Linked DNA regions of Yarrowia lipolytica. The protein of the gene in region 2 purifies or fractionates together with the protein of the main gene of each other region. This does not show direct contact. Links are inferred from orthologs where the notes say so. Each region holds a gene or a part of one and is shown on either strand. Other genes may lie near its edges. The genes, in order: YALI1_F39128g and YALI1_F19478g.

Evidence for each region.
Region 1: the proteins of YALI1_F19478g (region 2) and YALI1_F39128g purify together in Saccharomyces cerevisiae (affinity purification with mass spectrometry, with the first as the bait; 3 studies listed by BioGRID). This does not show direct contact. The link is inferred for Yarrowia lipolytica from reciprocal best matches to the Saccharomyces cerevisiae genes PSE1 and DBP9.

What each region holds. Positions count from the first base shown.
Region 1 is NC_090775.1:3,911,458-3,922,391, forward strand, and holds YALI1_F39128g (uncharacterized protein), read left to right. Parts: upstream 1-1,383; coding exon 1,384-3,018; downstream 3,019-10,934. Other genes in the region: YALI1_F39108g (uncharacterized protein), read left to right, coding at 1-1,121; YALI1_F39159g (uncharacterized protein), read right to left, coding at 3,330-4,454; YALI1_F39164g (uncharacterized protein), read left to right, coding at 4,992-5,825; YALI1_F39176g (uncharacterized protein), read left to right, coding at 6,177-6,323, 6,420-6,527; YALI1_F39183g (uncharacterized protein), read left to right, coding at 6,894-7,046, 7,400-7,534; YALI1_F39199g (uncharacterized protein), read right to left, coding at 7,842-8,525; YALI1_F39236g (uncharacterized protein), read right to left, coding at 9,038-10,934.
Region 2 is NC_090775.1:1,939,407-1,952,582, forward strand, and holds YALI1_F19478g (uncharacterized protein), read right to left. Parts: upstream 8,436-13,176; coding exon 5,292-8,435; downstream 1-5,291. Other genes in the region: YALI1_F19381g (uncharacterized protein), read left to right, coding at 1-504; YALI1_F19500g (uncharacterized protein), read left to right, coding at 10,600-13,176. UniProt on the Saccharomyces cerevisiae protein: Functions in nuclear protein import as nuclear transport receptor. Serves as receptor for classical and arginine/glycine-rich nuclear localization signals (cNLS and rg-NLS) in cargo substrates.

The DNA.
Region 1 (10,934 bases), about 2.0 Mb from region 2:
ACTACGATGAGGACGACTCTGAGGGGTCCGATGAGGAGGAGCAGGACGTGCTTACAGGCACTTCTCTGAGCGAGGTGCTTCAGCGAGTCACCCAGTACTCCAACAAGGAGTCCAAACTGCTTCGACACGGCGAAATAGAGGTTGCTCGACTTCAGGACGTTAACTTTGCTGCTCCTTCTCGAGCTGCCGTGGAGGGTCTCGCTTTCCACCCCACACATTCTCTGCTTCTGACTGGAGGTTTCGACAAGACTCTGCGACTATACCAGGTGGATGGCAAGAACAACCCTGTTGTCACCACGCTCTTCATGAGACATACTCCCTTTGCTCACGTGGCCTTCCACCCCGACGGCCAGAGAGTGTATGCTGGTGGCCGAAAGCAGAAGCATCTGTACATCTGGAATGCTGAGAGTGGAAAGGTGGAGCGAATGGCACATCTGTACGGCCATGGTGACAAGGTGCGATGTTTTGCGCAGTTCAAGCTCTCACCAGACGGAAAGTACCTTTGTGTAGTTGGAGTGGACGGCTGGCTGGCCATTCTGTCGGCTACCTCTGGACAGTGGATCGACGGCTGTAAGATTGAGGGCGACGTTGCCGACTTTGTGTGGGACGGTGGCTCCATTATTGCTGTCAACACCGCTGGACAGGTGTGGGAATACAACGTGGAAAGCCGTTCTTTCACAGCTACTTGGACCGACGAGGGAGGAGTTGGCATCACGGTGCTGGCTATCGGCGGCAAGGCTAACCAGTGGCTGGCTATCGGCTCCGAGTCCGGCTACGTCAACGTCTACAACCGACCCAAACTTGCATTGGAGATTGCTAAGGGCCAAAGCCCCTTTGTGCCCCAGAAACCCACTGCGGTTCTCTCTAACCTAACCACCCCCGTTTCGTCGCTAGTCTTCTCTCCCGACGGACAGATGCTTGCCATGGCCTCCGACCAGAAGCGAGACTCTCTCAAGCTGGTCCATGTTCCTTCGTTCACCGTGTTCAAGAACTGGCCCACTCAACATACTTCTGTGGGAGTTGTCACCAGCGTGGCCTTCTCCCCCAGCTGCGAGTACCTGACTGTAGGTGCCACCAACGGCAGAGTCCGAATGTTCCAGCTCGCCCACTACAAGCTTTAATAGTATAGATGCATATTAGAAGATGTTTATAAGAGAATCTGAGTAGAAGGGTAAGTGTATATACTGGGTCTAGTTGGGGAGCGACTGAGTACTTTTTACCTACATTTCGAAGTAATTTAGTAAACATTAGTTGCACAGTCCGTTTAAAAACTCTATCTAACTTAAGCTCATCTATCGAAATATTTTTGCCCGACATGTACCTTAAAATTATTCTGCCAAAAAGTATACCTACGCATTTCATACTCATACACCACTTACAAAAATGACTACCCCCGACCTGGAGGATAAGTCCTTCGACTCGTTCGGCCTTGATGACAGACTGTTGTCCGGCCTGGCTGCCTGCGACATGAAGCAGCCCACTCTCATTCAGAACACAACCATTCCTCTGGCTCTGGACAAGGGCGTGGATATCACAGCCAAGGCCGTCACTGGTAGTGGCAAGACGGTGGCCTACTTGCTGCCCATCTTCGAGCTGATGCTGAGAGCTGAGAAAGAGAAACGGGATATCCAGACTGCTCTGATTGTGGTTCCCACGCGAGAGTTGTGTGAGCAGGTGTCCAAGGTGATCACCAAGCTGACCCAATTTTGCCCCCATCTCAAGTCTCTCAACGTGACTCAGCAGCTCGGAGACGACGTTATTTCTTCTCTGTTGGAAGAGAAGCCCAGCATCATTGTCGGAACACCCTCGAGGCTGCTAAAATACGCCAAGGAGATGGACTGCTCCAAGGTCGGTTATCTGGTCATCGACGAGGCAGATCTGCTGCTATCCTACGGCTACAAGGAGGATCTTATCGAGCTGTCGGAGATGCTCCCCAAGACTAAGCATACCTTCATCATGTCTGCAACACTCAACAAGGAGTCCGATCTGATGAAGCAGCAGTTCTGCAGAAGCACTGTGGCTAGTGTTGCAGTCACCGCTGCTGAGGAGGAGAGAAAACTGCTGCAGTACTACGTCAAGTGCAGCGAGAGAGATAAGTTTCTGCTGGCCTACGTCATGTTTAAGCTGCAGCTGGTCAAGGGCAAGACCATTGTCTTTGTCAACGAGATTGATCGATGCTACCGATTGCGTCTGTTCCTGGAGCAGTTTGGAATCAAGGCCTGTGTTCTCAACTCCGAGCTGCCCATCGCCTCTCGTCTTCATATTGTGGAGCAGTTCAACAAGGGTGTTTTCAACTTGCTGATCTGTACCGACGAGGCCAACAAGCTGGCTGAGGCTAGTAAATCTGCATCCAAGCAGACCAAGGAGGTGTCCAGAGCCCATGAGTACTCTTCAACTCGAGGTCTTGATTTCATGAACGTGGCTTTTGTGCTCAACTTTGATCTGCCTCTTTCTAGCCGAGCATATGTCCACCGAGTGGGCCGAACTGCTAGAGCCAACAAGGCCGGTACCGCACTGTCTTTTGTTGTGCCTGCCGACCAATGGGGCAAGGATAAGGTGGCCAAGCTGGATACTGCTAAGCGAGATGAGAAGGTGCTCAAGAAGATCATCAAGAACCAGGAGTCACAGAACATGGAAATCAAGCCCTATTCGTTCGACATGAAGCAGGTGGAGGGCTTCCGATACCGAATGGACGACGCTTTCCGAGCCGTCACAACCGTGGGTGTTCGAGAGGCCCGAGTCAAGGAGATCAAGACCGAGTTGCTCAACTCCGAGCGCCTGGCTCGACATTTCGACGAAAACCCCGACGATCTGAAGGCTCTTCGACACGACAAGGAGCTCCACACATCCAAGGTCCAAGCACACATGAAGCGGGTGCCCGACTACTTGTTGGGACGAAAGGGTAAGCTGGATCCTAATGTGTTTGTGCCATTCAGAAAGGATGATAACAAAATCCACAAGAAGTATACCAAGAAGAAGAAGGGCGGCGATCCCCTCAAGTTCAAGAAGCGAAAATAGATGATATAGAATGGAAATGACAGATTACATGGTATTGAAATAGCGGGTGTCTGCTACAAGTAAGCGGTGTGTTTTCAAGACTACAGTACACATACTGTACATAGATATATGCTGGTGTTGGTTCTGTAAGTGAGTTGTGTTATAGTCACTTGTACCAGTAGTAAAAACTTGTGGTACAGTATGTATGTATATACAGTATATTCTAAGCTATTCTATATTTGTATTGGTACGCTACTGTACATGGGTAGGTCCGGTCCAATTCTTCGTATCCTCAATTAATATCCGTTATTAAATTATGTTGTGCTTTATTCCTACTTGGAAACACTTCTAACCCAGTATTCACTGGCACCCTCCTCTCTCATCTTAATATACTGACGAGACAACAGCAGGCCGACTTGGTACAGTTCTCGTTCCACGGCCTGCTTCTTGGTTTCCAGGTCAGCCAGATTCTGGGTCAGATTCGTCGACCTGCCTCCAGTGTTGGCAGAGAAGTTTTTGTATGTCGTGGTCGGCCCCATCTTCTTGATGAGATCAATCTCCACTGTGATTGCACGTGACAACTCAAACAGCTTGTCCGACTGCTGTTGCAGCTGGGCCACTCGGTCTGCCCGTGATGCGTGCGACTCCCTTGAGCTAATCGATGCACTGTCCGAGGCGGCTCGTGGCTTCTCAGCTGCAATGCCTCCATGTCCTTCCTTCTTGCTCTTGACCGTCTGTCTTACCAAAGCGTCAAACTGTCGCTCGATCTCCACCTCCTTCATCTTGATACGAGCATATACTCCGGAGGGCCCCGAGTTGTTGTTGGGTTTCACCTTTGCCCGTGGGTCGTGCGTCTGTGGTCGAGGAGCCACCGTGGGCTGTTGTGGCCGGTGACCGAGACCATGTCCTATGCCTGCATTCTTGTGGAAAATGCCCCGGGTGCCTGTACTAGGTGGAGCCAGTCTAGCTACTGTGGCAACGCACACCTCGGCTGAGGTGTCTGGCGAGTCTAGAGACACATCTCCGTCTTCCTCGGCGTCCTCGAAGCGGTCCAGGTCTGAGTCTCGAAGTGTAGATGTGGAGGAGGAGTTCTGTAAACTCTTGTTATGCTGTGTAGTTGGTGCAGCCCGTTGTTGGGCATGTGTTGTTGTCGTGGTCTGATGATGTGTGTTGAAAGGGACAGGGCTTCCAGAAGGCTGTCTGGGCTGGTTCAGCTTCTTCTCTGGAGTCGACGTGCCCCCGGCGGCATGCAAAACGTCTTCGGGGATGCAATAGCTCTCGCTGGCGACGGTGTTGAGCGTGGAGGACGAGTAGTTTGGCACCGCTCTCATGAAAGCTCTTCGGCGCTGTTCCGACATGACAAAGGACTCATCACGGGTCATTTCGTAGTGCGACGTGTCGTCGGCGCCAATAACGAGGGCGGCTCCCACGGTTTGGGCCATTGGTCGTGATGGCATCTTGGTTGGGGTTTACGTCTCGTCTCTTCAATCTGCTTGTGATGATTGACACTCTCACTGTTTTGGATTCAGAGCGCGAAACGCGCCTTTAGGTTTCAAATGCGATGAACAGAGTTGGTTCCCCTACCTTGAATCGCTGGGTGTTAAAACCAAGTCGTATAAACCACCCTGGCAGGTGTTGAGAGAAGAATAGGTGAGACTCGTATGTAGTATGGGAGAGAGAGCTCAAGAGGCATTATATCATATAGCAGGTCTGGCACTTGACCTGCAGCATCGCATCCTGCAGGAATCCATCACCTGGGTCTTAGATTATTATTCTCCTTCCCATGCAATGTTGTGGTTGTATTTTGAAATGTTATTCTGAGACTTCTGTCATACCCTTTTGAGAAGTCGGGGTTGGGGTAGCCCAGAACTTGCCCAGAACCTGAATAGCCATTTGGGTCACGCGCCAAGTGCAGCAGTCATGCACTAACGTTTAGTTCCTAAAATTTCAAGTGCGTTTTTCAGGCGCAAAAAATAAACTGACCAAGCTCTATAATGCAGCGACTATTGAAAAAGGCACTGAAAAACAGCGCAGCGGGCGAGGCTGGAGCACCACTGGAGCGCACCGACACCCGCTCCTCGCACGAAACGCTCTTTGACGACAACAAGTCCGCGGTCTCCACGCTGTTTGAAACCCCTGAAGGCGACCCGCGAGAACGGGATGTCTACAGCATATACTCGGCCATGTTTCGACATGGAGTGACCGTTTTTGACGATGGCCTCAAAAAACCCATTCTGTCTGTGTCCACGCATTTCTTCGGCAAGACCTACATGGAGATTTACCGGCTGGACGATAAGCAGAGCCCAGGTAGCGAGGCTGTGTCAATGTCTGGAACCGAGTGCTACAAGTCGCTTCTGTGCAGTGTGACACAAAAGGTACTTGACAACGACCGTATCGAGTACATTCTCACCTTTGTGGACAGCGAGCGGGACAACATCACCATGGTTACCCATGGAACCAGGCGGGTGACTACAGCTTCTTACGAAGGCGTGCAGTTGCAATGGTACGGAACGACGGGCATTGCCAACACTTATGGCTCTGGATTCTTTCATCTGCGGCTTGTTGACACCGAACATACTGAGAGACAGGGTAATGTGCTGCCAGACTCAGACACCCTCTGTGGTCCTTGCATAGGAGCCTACAGTTATCTGACTGAGGGCAGACTGAAGAAGCAGCGCCGGGTTGGCGAGTTTAGCATTTTCAATGGTGGCACTCATCTTTCCGAGGTCATCCTACTCATGGGACTGGTTCTGCGAGAGGGAGAGATGCGAAAGATAACGGAAAGTACACGAGCTGCCAATGCTGTCACCAGCAAGGTGTTTTTGTAAACTGAGTGATGAAAACGGCATGGTTGAAACAATAGTTTGGTAGCTACCGTGATGAGCTCCGTCTCTTGCGACAACCAGGATAGCAGCTTGGGCGGGAAAAAGAAGAAGAATGTGGATTGTGGTGGCTTTGAGTGCCTTCCGCCGATAATGTGAAACGAATTTTTATTATTAATGAGTAAGACAGACAGACTAATATATCTGAATACTATGGTTGGTTGCCTAGGGTTGTGTGGATGGTCGTTCCCGTTCAGCTCATGGCCGAATCAGGTATACTCGCTTACATAATCATTTTGGGTTGCATACAGGCATCTCGGTGAAGCATGATTTTCGACTTTACACTCGACCGTCACAATGAACTCCTTTGCCCCGGAATGCACTAAAGCCAAGAAGGAGTACGACAACTGCTTCAACAACTGGTACTCGGAGAAGTTCCTCAAGGGAGAGTCCATGGAGAACGAGTGTGCCGATCTGTGGCACGAGTACGAGGATTGCGTCAAGGTGAGTAGGGAGAGGGAGAGGGCAGCCTGGAGATGAATTAGGATCGATTCAGGAGATCGGTACCCGGCGTACCACTCACAGTATTTACTAACCCAGGCCGCTCTTGCCAAGAAGGGTGTTGGAAAGATGATTGACGAGGCTCGAAAGCAGGCTCCGTTTGAGAACGGCGGCAAGCTCGTGGAGGAGGATGAAAAGAAGAAGTAAATGTATATATTAATTGAACGATTCTGCTGGCCAAGATGTGAAAAAACGAGTTTCTCACTTGTATCAAGTCTGTGTTAGTCAGGCTTTTCTCTGTAAGTGTGCAAGGGTGTCTGTGAGTTACGGGTGAATTTTTTTAAAATCTAGTAAAAGGATGAAGTTCGACAGATTTTATAGGGAAATCTAAACACTTTCTAACGATTTATAAAAAGTCCTCTCGCCGCAAGAAGTCATCGGCCACCTTCCAGTACCCCAAACACACCTGTGTAAGTCACTGCAAGAAAACCTCGCCACGTGACAAACAAGGTTTTGCAAAATCGTCGGTTGGAATATCAGACTCTATCACCACACATACACGACCATACAAAAATGCTGTCTCTGATTCAGTCGCTACGGCCGACTGTGGCCATGAACAACGTGGCGCAGATGTTTGTGCGAAACACTTGCAAGTCCGCCCATGTCAAGACCAAAAAGGCCGTTGCCAACCGAATCAAGATCTGTGGTAGTGGAAAGATCACCAGAGTGAGTGCCACAAGGATGGAGAGGAGGGGAAATAAGGAAAAAGGAATGCTGGGAGCGACTCCGATCAAGCCATGATAGAGTGGATAGCTGATATTTCAGTGCCGGAAAAGTTTTGCCTCTGATCTGATCATGGCCTTATGTTACACAGCTTTCAAGCTGAGATGATTAACTGTTTCAGCAGCTAGAAGAGATACCAGACACGGAACTACCTGTCACAACCAGGCTGATTACGCACACTGCGTTTTTTTTGTTTTTTTTGTTGCTTACCAGGCACTCAGATCAAGCAAGACACTCATAACCTCTTGTAGCTGAACACATCAACAATGACAACTTCCAGATCGCCACTAACTCAGGGAAAAACCGGACGAAAGCACGGAAACACTGGATGGTCCGCTGCTCTGCTGCGAAAGAAGACCGGTATGACCGAGCTCACCGGTTTCCAGAAGAAGCATGTCAAGAAGTACGTGCCTTTCAAACAATCCCCTTAATGTATATAGCAATTAGAACCCTCTTGGATGCACGAGAAGTCTGTACAGTACAGACGGATACAAGTTCGTAGTGCACGTACCGAGCTGTTTAAATTAATTGATGTATTTTTCTGTATAAGATGTAATCATTGCATACTCTGCAAATAATAAATAGGGCGCGCGGGGTTTAGATCACGGTTTTGATGGGACAGCTAGGCCGTGGGTAGGTACAGCACTTGTACTCAGGCCGTGGTGGAGACGCGGTACTGCGAAAGTACCAGCGATATGAATGTCGTAAGTATCATACTACAATTGTAGCAGAGGGGGGTTACTGGCCAAGCAACAACCAACCAATAAAATAGACACCATAACCCATCATTTCAACAGCATCCACAGGGTTAAGGCTGGACAGACCAGAGTCCCACTCAATGGCAGACTCACGAGGAGCATACTCTTGTCGATCTGAAGAGGGCTCGTTGGCCAAAAGACCGACATTTTTTTCAGGCACAAAAGGCTTGAGCTCCTCGCCAGTCAACCAATAATGGAGTCGATCTCCAAATGCTGAGGCGTTGGACTCGCGGTTGCACTGTTCAATCACGCTTGTCACTAATTGTTGTTTGTCGGCGTCACAGATATCGAGCATTTGTGTTTCTTGAGAGTGTTTTCTGATTACAGCGGACCCAGGGGCGCTTTTTTGATTATATATAGCCTTACAGCCTTTCAGAGACTTTCGTCGCCATGCAACAAAGACAGGACCAGTAAGGTTGTTGAGTGCACGTGACCTCGGGTCCACGAACGTCATGGGGCAAAACAAGACTATTGCAACATAATTATAAGGGGTAGATGCAGCTTGCGAGTTCCCCTCCTGCTTGCTACGTGCCAGTGCAACCTCTGGCGTGTTATTCTTCCACATTTGCTCTTTGTGGCGACCAGTAGCGTGTAATAAACATTCTGGGGTAACTGTAAGCGCTGATATGGAAATGTACGATACGATAGGGTATGTAGGGTCCATGTAGGGTCTTACAGATAGCTTCAACAAGTACTCGTACCAGGCGCGATACTGCAATAACAGTGGATATTTCTCAACAAATCTACTGTAGGTGACACACACACTCACGTCTGCGTCTCCACATGACAAGCATCACTGTTAATCTATGTTCCACTTGATTATGGCTTTTGCCACCAGGTCTTGTTGGGTCATGTCTTGTGTACTTTTAGCTCTCCATATAATAAATATATTGGGGTAATCCTCAAGGTGGAGAATGTGGGGTGCCTGAATACATGGAGTGAAAAGTCGTGTGACCAGTTGTCGTTGGCAAGATGATAAGATCGGTGATGAGTCCGAGCACTTAATTGCGCGGTAGTGTATTGTTCTACAAGTAGCACAACATGTCATACTACGATTACTACAGCCTCACTCCACACTACATAACGTACAGTACTGTACTTGTACCCGTGCCATAGACTACAAACAATAACACCTCTGTAACTAAACATGCAATCTATACATTTTTGGGTCTCTATTTACTCTTGCTTTTCAGCCTCGTTCACCTGCTCCTCGACATTTTCATCGCTCTCCTTGACTCGCTTACCGTCCTTATAACTGTATCCAACCCACTCATTGCCCTCCTTTTTGATCTCCGCCGTGGGGAAGTAGTGGTAGTTCATCTTCATGGAACACGCAAACGCCACGTTGTCAAACGTGACAATACGCAACTTGACGTAGGTATTGTCAGGGATCTTGGTCACCACAGACAGGAACGTCTCCAGATCAGGAGTGGCGGTGCCGTTCACGTGAGTGATGAAGTTGGTGGGCGCAATCAAGTACTGGTAAGCGGGAGATCCCTGGGCTCGACTGGACACGTAGACGCCCGAGTGGATCTTTTTGATTTGCTGACGAACAGCATGGTGGGGGGTCTGCAGAACAGCTCCGCACCAGAAGACGGCCTGAGAGGTCTCGAAAGCCGAATCCGTGGTGGGAGCCTGGATCTCCTCCTCCTTTTTGTTTCGCACCAGCTTGATGGTCACCTGCTCCTTGTCGCCGGCCTCGCTGAGCGTTGTCAGGGTCGTCAGCAGCTTGCCGTTGATGGACAGCAGAATGTCTCCCTCTTTGAGCGCCTGGGAGTTGCCATTGATGGGTGTAGCGGTTCGAATGACCTCAAACAGCTGGTGTCGCTGCGAGTTGTCCTGCTCAACGGCAGCAATCCACTCGGGAGACACGCCTCGGATTCGAGCCTGGATCATGGACACAGAGGCGATCTCAACGTCCAGGAACCGCTCCTGGGGAGGCTTTCCGGCTCGGATTCGCTGCACGGTCTCCAGGAAGGTGCTGGTGTCGATTCCGAGTCGGTACTCGTGCTGACGGCCCTCGGTTCGCTCGCCCATGCAGGACAGCCAGAAGGCTCGCACAACACCAGTCTTGGGATCAGCAAGAACACCGGCAGTGCAGCCATTGGGAATGGTGGAGTCCACGGTGATGGCGTCCAGGTTGAGAGCTCGGTAGTAGGGCTCTCCGGCATTGGGAGGGATGGTGATGGCGGTCACATCGGACACCTTGGTTCGGGTGGTCACCAATCGAAGAGACAGGTTATGGCCCATGAACAGCACAGGGTCTCCCTGCTTCAGGGGAGTGGAAGAGAGCTTGGCGGTCTCAATATCGGCATGCACCAGCTTGGGGTCGTACTGCAGAATGGCATAGTTCTGCAGAGGGTGCATGAAGACGACGGTTCCAGGGACAACCACGGACTCGGCGAAGGTCACGGACACGTTACAAAGATCGTAGGGGATGATAGATCGAGACACGAGCACCAGACCCTTCTCGGCATCGACCACGAGACCATGTGACTGTCGCATGGTTCGGGGGAAGCCGTCAATCTTGTAGGGGATCATACAAGAGACCCGAACGAAAGATCGGGACAAAGGTGCACACGCAGCATCAGCCTCCTCCAGATTGGGATCTGTGAAGGTGGCTCGCTGGGGCACAATTTCGTCCTTCTTGGGTACAGGGTACTGTTTACTGAGATCGGTGAAGTCCCACTTGCCGGTGGTGTCGTTTCGCACCGCCAGACGGAAGCTAGAGTGCCACTTCCGGTCAATGTAGGTGATGGTGAAGTTGGTGGTGTGTAGGTCTCTCAGATGTCTGTATCGGATCGAAACTCGTCGGCCGTCGGGAATAGCGGCAATTACTTTGATAAAGGTATCAAGATCGGGAGTGTCGATATCATCGATAGAATCGACCACCCAGCCCTTGGACTCATTACCCTGTCCGTCAAGTCGGAATGAGCCTCCAACCTCAGACACGTAGACGCCGCGCACAGGAATTGCGTAGATTCGAGCCAGCTGGTATGACAGGTCCTGGAAGCTGGCACCGCAAACCTCAACGTATCGATCGGGGGTGATGGAGTGCAAGTCCTGAACATAA
Region 2 (13,176 bases):
GCCTCCATGAGCTTGGTTGAAGAGCCAGGCCTGGCAGCTGTACTATCTCTGCAACACCTGACCCGCGTGGCTCGAGAGGTCAAAAGTGATTTTGCGGCGGTGGTGGGCTTCACCAGCTCCCCTGCCCTTATTCCGATTGCAGAAGAAACTTTCACATCTTACTCACCTGGAACCCCTTTAATCCTTGCAAGTGTAAAAGCTCTTCCTCGAAACGCCCTTATTGAATGGGCGGCCTTGGCATACAAGAACTCTTATTACTTGGGCCAACGTGAAAACATCAAGTTAGTGTCTGTCTCCGGTTGCACATCCATCTCGTCCGTGCTGCAGTCGATTTCACCTGACGATGTCATCAGTGTGACATTATATGCAACCAACACCAGTCTAACAAACGACATCAATACCGCGCTGGAGGTGATTCAATGCAACACTGTCAGTTGCCTTGGTAGCACATGCGATGCAGCTGTTGTCCGCTACCGTCAGGATGTAGATATAGACTCGGAATAAATTCCATTGCGTTCAAAAGCTGGGCGAGCGAATTGCGAAGGCGACGATCCATGATGGCTGTACTTACTGATAAACTGAAGTCGTAATTATGTACCAGCTGGGTCAGGATAAAAAAAAAAAAAAAAAAAAAAAAAAGAAATGACAGAACAAAAACAGAACTCAGAGAGACAAAATTAAAAATAAACCGATCTGTTATTTTAAACTAGGGGATTTCATGATACATATAACGATAATACGAAAGTGAACCCTTCATCAATAATATAAAGACCGGAACAATCGTAAATAACAGAGGCGTGGAAAAATCAAATTGGTAATATAATTGACACATAAAAGGTGAATTTGAGGATAACCACGATAAAAGCAAAAGTAAATACTCCAGCAATATGATTATTGACCGGAACAATTTAATAATATAGTTAAATTATGAATATATGTATATATATCTCGGGATAATTTCATCTCCATTTGATCTTCTAGAAGTTCGCAATTAATTTATATTTTATAATCGATAATGTCAAAAAGTGTATTATGCTAATATTGAAATTTGGATAAGATATAATACATAAATGTTTCATAACAGCTTCAACTTATAGTTTTTGTTTCCAAATTAGGAAAATAGTTCATACGAAGACCTTAATAAGTAAATTAATGATATAAAATAACAACAGGGTATTAACATTATTTATATTGTAAAAAGAAACCCAGAAAAACGTTTCAAACGAAATTAAAAAATCCAACATAATAAAATTAAAAATTCTGTTTTCAATTCAAGAAATAATTAAAAGTTGTTGTCCAATTGATAAATAAAATATCTAATATATGTACTATTATCTACGCATTTTATATATTAATTTGGTAACTATTATAAAATCTTACCTGTAATATGTTGATTGTCCTCAGTGGACTTCTGTGATTTTTTTATTATTATGGTCGCCGAGTGGGAAGATAGCTGTTGACCCAAACATAAAATCTTTTATTTCTTATTTTATGCATTCTTAATTTAGTAGGGTAATAAGTAGTGACACCACTTCAGAAAAATTACCAATTTAGGAAAATTTTTCTGTAAGTGAATTGATGGTTTTTTAATTTATATGTATATATGTTATATATATATATATTATGTGTATACAATAAATGTGAGAGTAAAAAGTAAGAATTGAGGGTACACTTAGACTGATTAGTAGTATGTAACTGTTTTCAGTAATATGTAGATCGTCTACACGCGCGTAATTTTGTAATCGCTAGGTATGAGGAATGCCGTTGCCTTATGTAGTTAGTTGACGAAGGTAGTTGCCTGATAATAATGTTGCTGTATTACGACTTGGCCCAGTAGATAGGATAAGTGAAGGTAATAATATAACTAGAGGTAAAAGTGTTCCATGGACAAATTGTAAGAAGGGGGTGTTCCAAGTAGTAACTTGGAACACTAATGAATGCAAGTAGTCGACAGTGCAGATGATCGGATTCTGCACGTTCAGGTGCTCCGTTATTGTTGTCTCAAATATCTGCGCAAGTTGATTGTCTGCGTCTCAACTATAATATGTTTTTTTTTCCCATTATAATGATCATACCTACTAAGTCCAATCATTGGCGTTAAATAAATCAACTTCTTTTAAAGATGACTTTTTTTAGTTTTGTTTTTATTCCAATGATCCGTTTCAACTTTTGTCTTTCTTTGAATTGGTTTTTTTTAGATAATTTAAATGACACTCTGACTACCGCTACTGTTGCCCTTTTTTTTTTCCCCCCCCTGTTGTGCCCATAATCAATCAATGTTCGTGCTAATATAAACTTGAGACTTGAGGTCACATAATAGCGACTTCCAACACTGAACACATTCCAGGACTGAAAAGGTGATCCCTATCAAACTGATACAAGCGGAACTCAACATACCTGTTACTCAATAAGGCACTTTTTTATTTTTATAACATAATACATGGGCCCTTTGTATTGAAGATCATAAGTATTATTGATTAGATATAGTTAATGTAACGACTTACAACCCACTTCTAGGGATACCACGTTCCAATAGTAGCACACACCAGAAGGTGTGTGCTACTTCATTCACCAGAAAGGGATTCTAGATCAGTGGATAAAATCTACAGGATGGACATCTCGTCTACAACAAGGCTGGTTCCTCTCATCATTATGTGATGAATTAGTCAGGTATGTACAGTACATACTACCCTACCGGGTAATTACTTTGAACACTGACCCTAAGGATCAAGTAAGAATCCAACCAACAACCGTTGCCTCCATCTATCTATTGATGGCGAATTGGAGAATTGTGTTACCTAGTCCAGGCTACTGTAATAGTTGACATGTCATGCTGTGAACTTCCTCGCCACATGTTGGAGATCAAGAAAACAGAAGTTGATTGCTCTCTCAAGTGTTGAAGCCGAGTACATGGCACTATCCGGGGGTATCAAGCGAGGTTACTGGGTCATTTGTAGCTTCAATGGCGGAGAGTATGTAACGTGTACAGCCTCATCCCTGGGCATTGGTCGTTTTTAGAAGTAGTGTATATAGGTGAGTTGAAAACCAGTACGTCTACTATTACTGGTATTACCATGTGACTGTACTGTAGTGCAACACAAGTGAAATCGGTAATAAATAATCTATAGTATCAGTCAAGATGTTTAGCACTGTTCAGCTGGATTCGGTTCTTGCCCGGAACTGAGTAGGCGCGTTCAAATCGGAGGCTTCAGAGTCAGATCGTGTTGATTTGGGATCAATCACAGCAGTAAAAGCCCCTTCGGAAGCAACGTCATTGGACTGGTGGACGTGATCACGCTTAGGGACGTAAGGCTTTCCAACAGGGGAGGTGAGAGGCAAGAATGTAATGGGCATAGCGACGTGGCGTGTGTTTGTGTGTTTGGGTGCTTGCGGTTGTGTACTCGCGATTGTGTGGTGTGACAAGAAAATTTGACTCTTCCCAGTAGTGAAGATGTCAGTGTTGTTTTTTTAGAGCAAGTGAGGGAGATCATCTTGGTTTTATATACCACCCGGATGTTCGGATATCCGGGTGCATGCATGTGCGGAAGGTTTGGAAGGGGGACTAACAAAGTGAGGGCTTTCTTATTATATGGAGAACGGCTATTTGCAGCAGAATGAAAGTAATTCTTACCAGAGAAAGCCCCTTGGATACCGGTTGACACTCCCTCAAAGTCTGACCAATAGATAGACCTTTATCTGTCCATGTTGCTTCTTCGATTGGTCTTAGTATGAGCACGATGCCATCAACATGCACCTTGGTTTCTGGGGTGCATGTGCGATGTGACGTGATATTCCAGAATGTGGGAGTGGAAGTAAGACACCAGTGTGATGAGTTCGACCGGCAAAAAGGTCCAGTGATGTACTGTCTGGGGATAACATCCTCGGTTTTTCACATGACAGCCACTAATTTAGAATAACCAAAAGTTATCGCAGTCTGTCGTGGTCTCAACTTGATGCTTCTCAAACAAGATTATATTATCAGAAGCTTGTTTTGAATAATCTGCTCCGCTTGTCTTGTACACAACGGCTATGTACGTATAGCTTCCTGCAGGGTATTGAGCATTGTACAATCAGTTTTTTTCCCGGCTACTGGCATTATACAGTAATGGTGATGGTTCGGACTACCACTTAGACCAGAAGTAATCGTATCACACTGTCTCTTTTATCTGAAATAAGCACAACGTGATCGCACCATCATTCAAAGCTTGCTTTTGCTATCTTCACCATGTGATTACCAAGTTCAAAGTTTTGATATTCGTATCGTACATATACAAGAATTTGTAGACAGGTTATCAGCAAAGCAACAAATATTACCAAGCCGATAAAAACTAAGAAGCTAGAAATAGCAAAGAAGCAGCAAATTTTTGAGTAGATTTTTTTTGAGTTATAAGATGTATTTGATTCTTACAAGTAGGACTTATCCATACGATTGACCGTGAACTCCATCGTCCCAAGTACAACCGCTCCGTGTTATTATTAAGCCTCGACTGTTAGTGTCCAATGCAGATGAGATAAAAGTGGGGTTGTCATTGTCTTTCACAAGCTTTCCCCATCGTCTTGTTTTTCTCCACACAGACTCCTGTTAGATCCATTTTCAGGAGCCGACCCATTCCGAAACTTTCCGGTCTTTTTCGTGGCATAAGAATCAACACGGCACTGCTGAGAGCAAGCACACCGATAACCGATGTAGAGTGCTTGTATGAGTAGGGCAGGCGCAAAAGAGTAGCTTGCTATCGTCCTGTATGTGTTTGAAAAGCCTGTCCTCCACTATGTGATGTAAATATTTAACCACTATCCGGCCTCAGCTGTGTTCGGCAATAGTATAATGTTATCGTAGACGATCGCACATCCAGAATAACAGATGAGCCACCTGACGACAAAAGAAACCACGCTGTTTGTCACAGCACCCGCAGTGGCACGCCCGATAGCATGCGACCAAAGTCTGAAGCCGCATATCCGGAATGAACGGCTGAAGAATTATCCCCACATAGATCAAATGGAGCAAAAGGTACGTATCTGGTAGCACCGTCGCGAGTGTGTAGGATATGGGTACTGTACATGTACTGTAGCTATGTATCACATTCCATGACATACGGTTCTCTGAAACTCGCACAAGTATGTACTTTACTATACATAGTGTTGTTCCCATATTCGTGACGTAGGTACAGCATGTGCGAGTTCAACTACAAGTGAAGTACAATACCGTATGTAACCGGTACCTCTTATGTACGATATCTGATACAATTCCGGGACAATTAGCTACATGTATATCATCATACAATATCTATTAACTATGCAAACCAACTTTTGACAACATACTGAATCTGTTCAGACTCAATCTGCTGAACCATTTGCTGAACCTGGTCCTCTCCCAGAGATTGCAGCCAAGTCTTAGTAGCGTCGACCAAGACTCGTGCAGTCTCGCCCTGTACCACAGAGTTGAAAACTGTCTGGGCAACAGAATCAAGCACATGCACAGCATTGTCATTGATTGCCTTGTGGTTCGCCCGCATTAATTCCACGAGGAACCGGTATGCAAAGGGGGCAACTTCTTCGTCACAAAGAATGGGTAGTGTCTTGACCCAAGCGTCCAAAGCCGCATTGGACTGTCCACCGAGCTCAGATCCATGATGCTTGAGAATCTTGGCAATGGCGCAGCAGGCATGCTCCGTAGGGTAGATGTTCTCATCCACGCGGGCGTCAGGACTGTTTGCAATAGCAAACAGAGGCTCCAACATCTGCAAGGAGTCCCTGGTGGACTTCGCAGCACAGCCGACGCAGTACAACGCAGCCTGTCGAACATTCGAGTCGCCCGACTGAATGAAGGGTGCGATAGTCTGCAGAACAGAAGGGCCTGATTCGGGACAGAACTCGGCTACATCTGACAGCACACAAATAGAGAACTGAATTTGGTCAGCGTCACCAGTAAGAAACTGCTGGACAAGAGGTTCCAGCTCGGCCTCGTAGTAAGGCTTGAACTGGTCCTTCATCAGTCTGAAAACCTCATGCAGACACTTGTTGATTTCAGCAATGAGATACTCGTCGTGCTCCTCCTCCTCTCCGTCATCGTCCTCTTCGGTGTAGTCATTGTCATCGGCATTGCGCTCGTTGACACGCTCGATATAATCAGCTAGATTCTTGCAGATGATTTTGCAGAGGGAGGTCATCTGACCAGGTGTCATAGAGTTGGGTCCTAGAATGGACACGGCTTGGTAGATTGCAGTGTAGAAGTTGCCGAGAACATCAACCATGGGCTCCACCTGCATGGCCTCGATGAGCTTAGAGAAGAGAGGGCTGAAGAGCTCCGCGAGCATGTTCTGGTGGTTAGTGGTTACAGGTGCGACCTGCTTTGCCACCTCCAGGCATGGGCCGATGGCAGAAGCAGAGGCGTAACGCACACCGTCATGAACGAAAAAGACAATGCCAGGAGCCAGAATCTCGTTCAGGATCTGGTGTACATAAGGAGCAAACGAGTCCTTGAGAGTTTGGGCGTATCCAGCCATGAGCTCAATGGCCTGTGCCTTGTCGTCTAGGGGAGCAGTGTGAATACTGAGATGCTTTCCCTTGAGAGTAATAACATCCCAACCTTCTTGCTGAGCCACAGCATCGACCTCTCCTTCGTCCTCGATGAGATTGATATCAGGTTTAGCGGAAGCAGCTCTCAGGAGAGGAGGCATTACGACATCCAAAAAGGGCATGAAGTCACGACCAAGCAATTTGCAGATACGGCTCCATGCTAGAACCAAGTGGGACTGGCAAGGGTCGTCTTCGTTGTTAGTCTCATCGAGCTCGCCCTGGATGTCCACGTAGCATTTCAGGAGATCCATAGAGGAGGGGATGAACTGGGTCTTTCCAACTGCCACAGCAATGAGGGAAGAACACTCGATAGACTTAGCCTTTACATTTCGTGTTTCGTCAGTAGCAGGCGTTCGCAGAACAGTGAGGAGCAGCGGCATGAGCTCATCGTAGTATTTTGAGAACTTCTCAGACGAAGACTCAGCGATAGTCGAAATAGTGGTCAGCACCTGGTCCTGGAGGTACCGTTGGGGCCTGTTGAGCAATGTGACGAGAGAGCTCAGCAGATCATCGAGGTAAGGCTCCAACACCTCTTTTGTGGCATTCTCGGCGAAGTTAACCATTGCTGCAGCGGCGTGAGTCTGGACTCGAGGAGGTAACTTGCCCCGAAGAATGCTGATCAACCCAGGAACTACTCGCGCATGGTACTCGTTCTGGATGGTGGGTGCAAAGTCTGTAGAAATCTGGCCCAGTGTGTTACAGACAGCCCACTGAACTCGGGGATGGGGATCGTTCAGTAGGCCCAACACCATGTCCAAGACCTGCGAAAGCTCCTTGATCATGACATCAACACAACCCTCTGCAACAGAGGATAGAGCCATCAGGGCTGCGTGCTTCTCCTTCCAGGTACCGGAAGTCATTGGAGGAACGTACTCAAACAGGGGAGGGAGAATGACATTTCCGTGGAGCTTAAGAGCGAGTCGATCAAGAGATTGTCGTGCTCGCACATCTGCTTCCTCCTCCTCAGCATCACCGTTGATGTCGGTAGCGTTGTTCCATTCTGCCGCATCATCGTCGTCCTCACCAATTTCGGTCATGAGCTTGAGACAGCATGTAACGAGCTGAGGAGTGTAGTTGCTCTGGTTCTTGCACATCTGGGGAGCCTTATCAACAAAAGTTGTCAACAGCTCCAAAGCTGACAGTCGGGCACTGAGATCCATCTCGGCGTTCTCGATGATGGAAACACAGAAAGAAATAAGATCGGGAAACACGGGCAGGAACATCTTAGGGGCAAGGCCCGCCAGTTCCATCAAGTGCTCAAGAGTTTGTGTAAGTTCCAACCCCTGATCAGGTACAGCCAGAGGAGGCAACACATTGAGTAACGAGTGTAGAAGGGGGTTGAGCTGCTCCCATTTTTGCTGGGGCAAGAGGTCGAAGAATTTTGTGAAAGCTCCAACAGCGGTGACCTGGACAGACTGGTCGCTGTCAGCGAATCCTCGCTGGAAAACCGTGATGATACCATTGATGTCCTGGTTCTCGTTCAGAACAGTCGGCACGGTCGCGATCAGACGGAAGCAAGATTCTCTAATACCTCCAGAGGGAGCCTGAGTTCCCTCAAACAGAGTCTGGACCAGCTGAGGCCACGAGCCCTGGGTATTTTCGTCCTCCACGAGCTCCGCCATCGCGTCACACAGCTTGTGTCGAGTGGAGTTGTCGGTCTCTTGCGTAAAGCCTCCCAATAGAATGTTTCTGCACATGCTTCGCACCTCGGGTTGGACAGTGTCGACAGTTCGGGTGACCACGTTCTTGACGTCCTCAGGCGATTTAAGAGCCATTCGACGGAACAGAATAGCGGCAAAAGAACGTACAGTCTTGTCGGAATCAGTAGCAGCCAGCTGGGCCAGACCGACCAGCAGCATGCCTACCTGCTGAGGTCGACACCACTCATCACGTAGAGTTTTTTCTGCGGGTACTCGCACCTCAGATGACGGAGATCCGAGGTTGACGAGAAGTTGTTTCAGAGACGAGATGACCTCGTCCGGTACAGACACTTAGTTAGTAAAGGCTCGCAGGGCAACGTGGCCTGAGAAAGAGGCGAAACAGTTGAGGTCAAGTTATTCACATGGAAGTCTACCCGTGTGAAACTGAATGCCGTTCATCCGTTTCTTTTGCCCATCTGCTTCGAGATACTCACTTTTTTTTTTGTTGTCTGGTCGGTTTCGTGTACCAAAAAATCCCCTGAATCAAGTGTTGTCAAGGCAAAAATGCAGAACAGATAAAAAAAAGCTTTGGTTACATGTCCCAACCTCGCAAAGCTTAAAATTTGTACTGCATATTACGTTGAATAGGTCATGTGACATTTGATGTTTTGGACTCGTATCCGAGGCTCACCCTTTTGCACGAAGGAACGACACACTCAGTTTCGCGGAACGCGAAGGAGGCATCTTATAATGTTGATATCAAGTATCATATGTAAATCTACGTGTACTGTATTTTAGCTACTTGTACAAGTAATTTACTTTTAGGTACAGCATATAACTTCACAATTTACCAACCGTTGTAATGATCACACTCTAGAGTATGTATGTATGTGTACTCTGTAGTCTTTTCATTATTGCTCCTACTGTACGATACATACAGTACATTCGCAACCGTATTAAAAAGTACTGTGCAAGTATTCACTGTGTGTCACCCTCAGGCTTCAATATAATCGTCACAGTTGCAATGGGTTTGCGGTTGACACCCCAACCCAGTACAGTACTTGTAGTATATTGTACAAGTAGTTTTTCTCATCCGTTCATGTCCCAAAAACACAGTTTGATAATTAATGTAACTATTATTTGTTGCGGTGAGGAGGTTTCTGTGTCACCTTCTTCCTGGATTTTTAATATAATTGTGGCCGGCAGAGTAGTACCAGTTAAGTGGTCCTAACGCTCAAGTGTATTCCCTCTCATCGCACAAACAAATGTTATAATGTGGGCTACAGGTGCGATCACAGCCAATCGTGTAACCGCAATTTCCACGATGTTTAAGGTTTGGAAAAACAGTGAACTATTCGCGGGCTGAAAGGCATGAATGGTGTAGCCCTATATATACGACCACGTTGGTGCTATTGCTTCCTAGCCGTTGTTTGGGGGAAGTATGGATATCTTGCAGCTTTATGTACACCTTCAGCCTGCTCTGGTATCGTACAAGTACCAAACCATACGAGTATCCATGGACAAGGCTCAAAGAGGACTACAAGTACATACTGTATGTACTGTACTGTACTGCTGTGTACTGTAGTTTTACTTGTACAAGTAATGCATATGTACGATTTCATGAGAGCTTTACCAGAATCTGTGAGAACTGATTACTCCTTCGTTTGTTGTGTGATTCAGAGTCAGGTAAACAAATCATAAGCTGCATGTACTTTACATGCTTAGGCACAGGTGAAAAGTATTCGCACGCAAAACCGGGGCTGCTTCATACGTGAACCAACCCATTCATCACACCTAGAATTTTAGACTTTCTGTACAAAGAGCACCTACTTGTAGTTATGAGTGAATGAGCATCACACGCTTTCTGATTGGTACCGGGTAGCACTATTTATATTACCTCTCCTCAAGGGCTCCCTCCAATTATATTTTCTCTTGCCCCGTTGAATCTCCTCTGGTAAATATAATCTGATTCTTGTACTCGTGCGGAGTAGTCCTATACATACGAGTACGATACTAATTACTGTAAACCTAACTCAGGGTATCCCTTTTGTGACTCGAGCCCACTCCAAGTCGATAGGTTATTGTAAATAAACTTCTATCTATCTCACATATGGTCGATTAGTCCATATGAATTCTCAGCCTTTATCACATCACCGACGATAAACGGAAGACAAACACTTGAAACGGGCCAAAGGCTTTTGACAGTTACGCATTGACTTCGTCTGCCAAACCCCACGGACTACTATGAAATTCACCGAGCTTTTGGCGGAGTATCAGGTCCCCGAGTGGAAATCGCAATATGTCGACTATAAATGGGGAAAGAAACTACTCAAGAAGATTCCTGACGACTTAAAGGACAGACTCAAGCGTCACAATACCTTCAATGATGAGATCGATGCACCCAGCGAACCTCAGAACATTGCAGCCCAGCAGCAGGCTGTACTTGTGGATCAGACTGCCGGAGAAGCGAGCATATCCCCAAAAACTGTTGCGCCAGCGGCGGCCTGCCGCTACTTCTCCTAATACAGGAATAACGCCAGGCGCATTACTTGGAGAGCCCTCAGAGACAGAACCTTTCAATTCTGGTTCGGAAAACGACAACTACGGGGCTACTGAGTCCCGCGAGGGCAGTGTGGAGGATCACGAGAGGCACGATCCTCAGAGTGGTGGGGTGGCTTCCCATGATCCAAATCTGAGTCCATCATACATGTCCAGGGAACGCCTTTCTAGAGGTCAGTCGGGTCACCCGACACCTATTCTGCTATCCAAGATATCGACATCGGGTGGAGATTCAGTGAAGCTTCCCCCGGCTGCACTCGAGGGCGGTACTACACCTGAAATGGCACCTCATCGAGGTATCATCACCCGCGGAAAGTCCTCGTCTGGTAGAGCAGACTCTGTTAAGGCCAAGTTTCACATTGGAACACCCAAAATCACGCCGGAGGTCAACACTAATTATTCCGTCATGGACAATTCGTTCTCAGTGATCGCACCGTACGACAGTGAAAAGGACTTCATTGCCTGGTTGGACTCCCAGCTGGATAAAGTGAATGAATTCTACGATCAGAAAATGAACGAGACCCACGAGCGATACAGAATTCTGGTGGGACAGCTTGTGAGGCTGCAGCGACAGAAGCTGCATCTTCGACAGCGTCCAAATAAGCCTGCACGTGAGGGTCTGAGTGTGGTGGAACGTCAAATTGAGCTTCCAAGTCTCCCAAGCTTTGCTTGGTTGAAAAAGAGTGACTCGAACGATGTGTGCGACCTCGATGCCGAAAACACTCGTGCGAGCAGCGAGAGTGCACTGCGTGGACAAAACCCGCACTTCCACGATGCCACTACTGACCATGAGGGAATCTCATACGCGTCAGCCCGACGTCAGCTGAAGACAGCAATGCAGGAGTATTACCGAAGTATCGAGCTTTTGCGTTCGTATTGCACACTCAACCGGACTGCCTTCCGCAAGATTCTGAAGAAATACGATAAGATTTCTGGGCGGCACATGAGTGCTTATTACATGGATCTCGTGGACCACACGGACTTCTGCAATGTGGAAAACTCGCGGCTTGACATTGTGGCCGCTAAGGTGGAGGACCTATACACCAACAACTTTGAGCGCGGAAACCGGAAACACGCTATTTCAAAGCTACGGTCTACTGGCGTCAACAAAACATACTATTTTGCGACTTTCCGTGGTGGTATCTTCTTTGGCTTAGCAATCCCATTCTTCATTGAAGGCCTTTATCGAGGCTGTCTGAACTTGGTGGAGCACAAGTCTCCGGACACCCAATACCTGCTGCAGATTTGGGCAGGGTTTTTCCTTATCCTTTTGTTCCTCCTTCTGTTCCCCCTTTGTTGCTTGGTATGGAACAAGTACAAAATCAACTACACCTTCATTTTCGAGTTCTCACAGGACCACTTAGATTATCGGCAATTCTTTGAGATGCCAGCCTTCTATTTCTTCTTCATGAGTATATTCGCGTGGCTGACGTTTTACTCGTTCTGGGAGTCTTCATTCAGGGCCGTCTATTACCCGTGCATCTTTCTAGTTTTTGCGGTTGTGACGTTTTTCATGCCTCTAAACATCTTTTATTGGAGCGCTAGACAGTGGCTCATCAGAGCGCTATCTCGAATCCTTCTCTCTGGACTCTACCCCGTTGAATTCAGAGATTTTTTCTTGGGAGATATCATCTGCTCTATGACCTACTCCATGTCTAACATTGCTCTGTTCTTCTGTCTCTATAGCCACGAATGGTCAGAAGGGTTCCATGGGATATATAATCCTAGCCATTGCGGCTCGTCTCACAACCGTTTGATGGGTTTTTTTAATGCTCTCCCGGGTATCTTCCGTTGGCTACAATGTCTGAGACGTTTCGCAGACACAGGAGATGCTTTCCCACATTTGGCAAACATGACGAAGTACTCTCTTACGATCATGTATTATGTGGCCCAGAGTGTTTGGCGAATTGACACAACCAACGGAAATCGAGCATTTTTTATCTTCTTTGCTACTGTTAACTCTACTTACTGTTTCATTTGGGATATCATGATGGATTGGAGCTTGCTGGAGTTTGGGAGTAAGAACTTCTTGCTCCGAAACCAGCTGACCTACAAGGTCAAGTGGCCATATTATACTGCTATGGTGGTAGATCTGGTGCTCCGATTCAACTGGATTTGGTACGCCATTTTTGAGCAGCAGATCCAACAGAAGCAACTACTCTCTTTCTTCGTTGCTCTGTCAGAGATATTCCGACGAGTCATGTGGATGTTTTTCAGAATGGAGAACGAGCATGTGAGTAACGTCAAGCGTTTCCGAGCATCTCGTGATGTACCTCTGCCATACCATGTGCACGTCTGTGCTGAGCCTGGTGAGACGGACGAGACTGCAGTGGAAGAGGGACACCAGGCAGATGATGAGGATGAAGATGAAGCACGTGACCGAATGGGGTCATCCACTGGT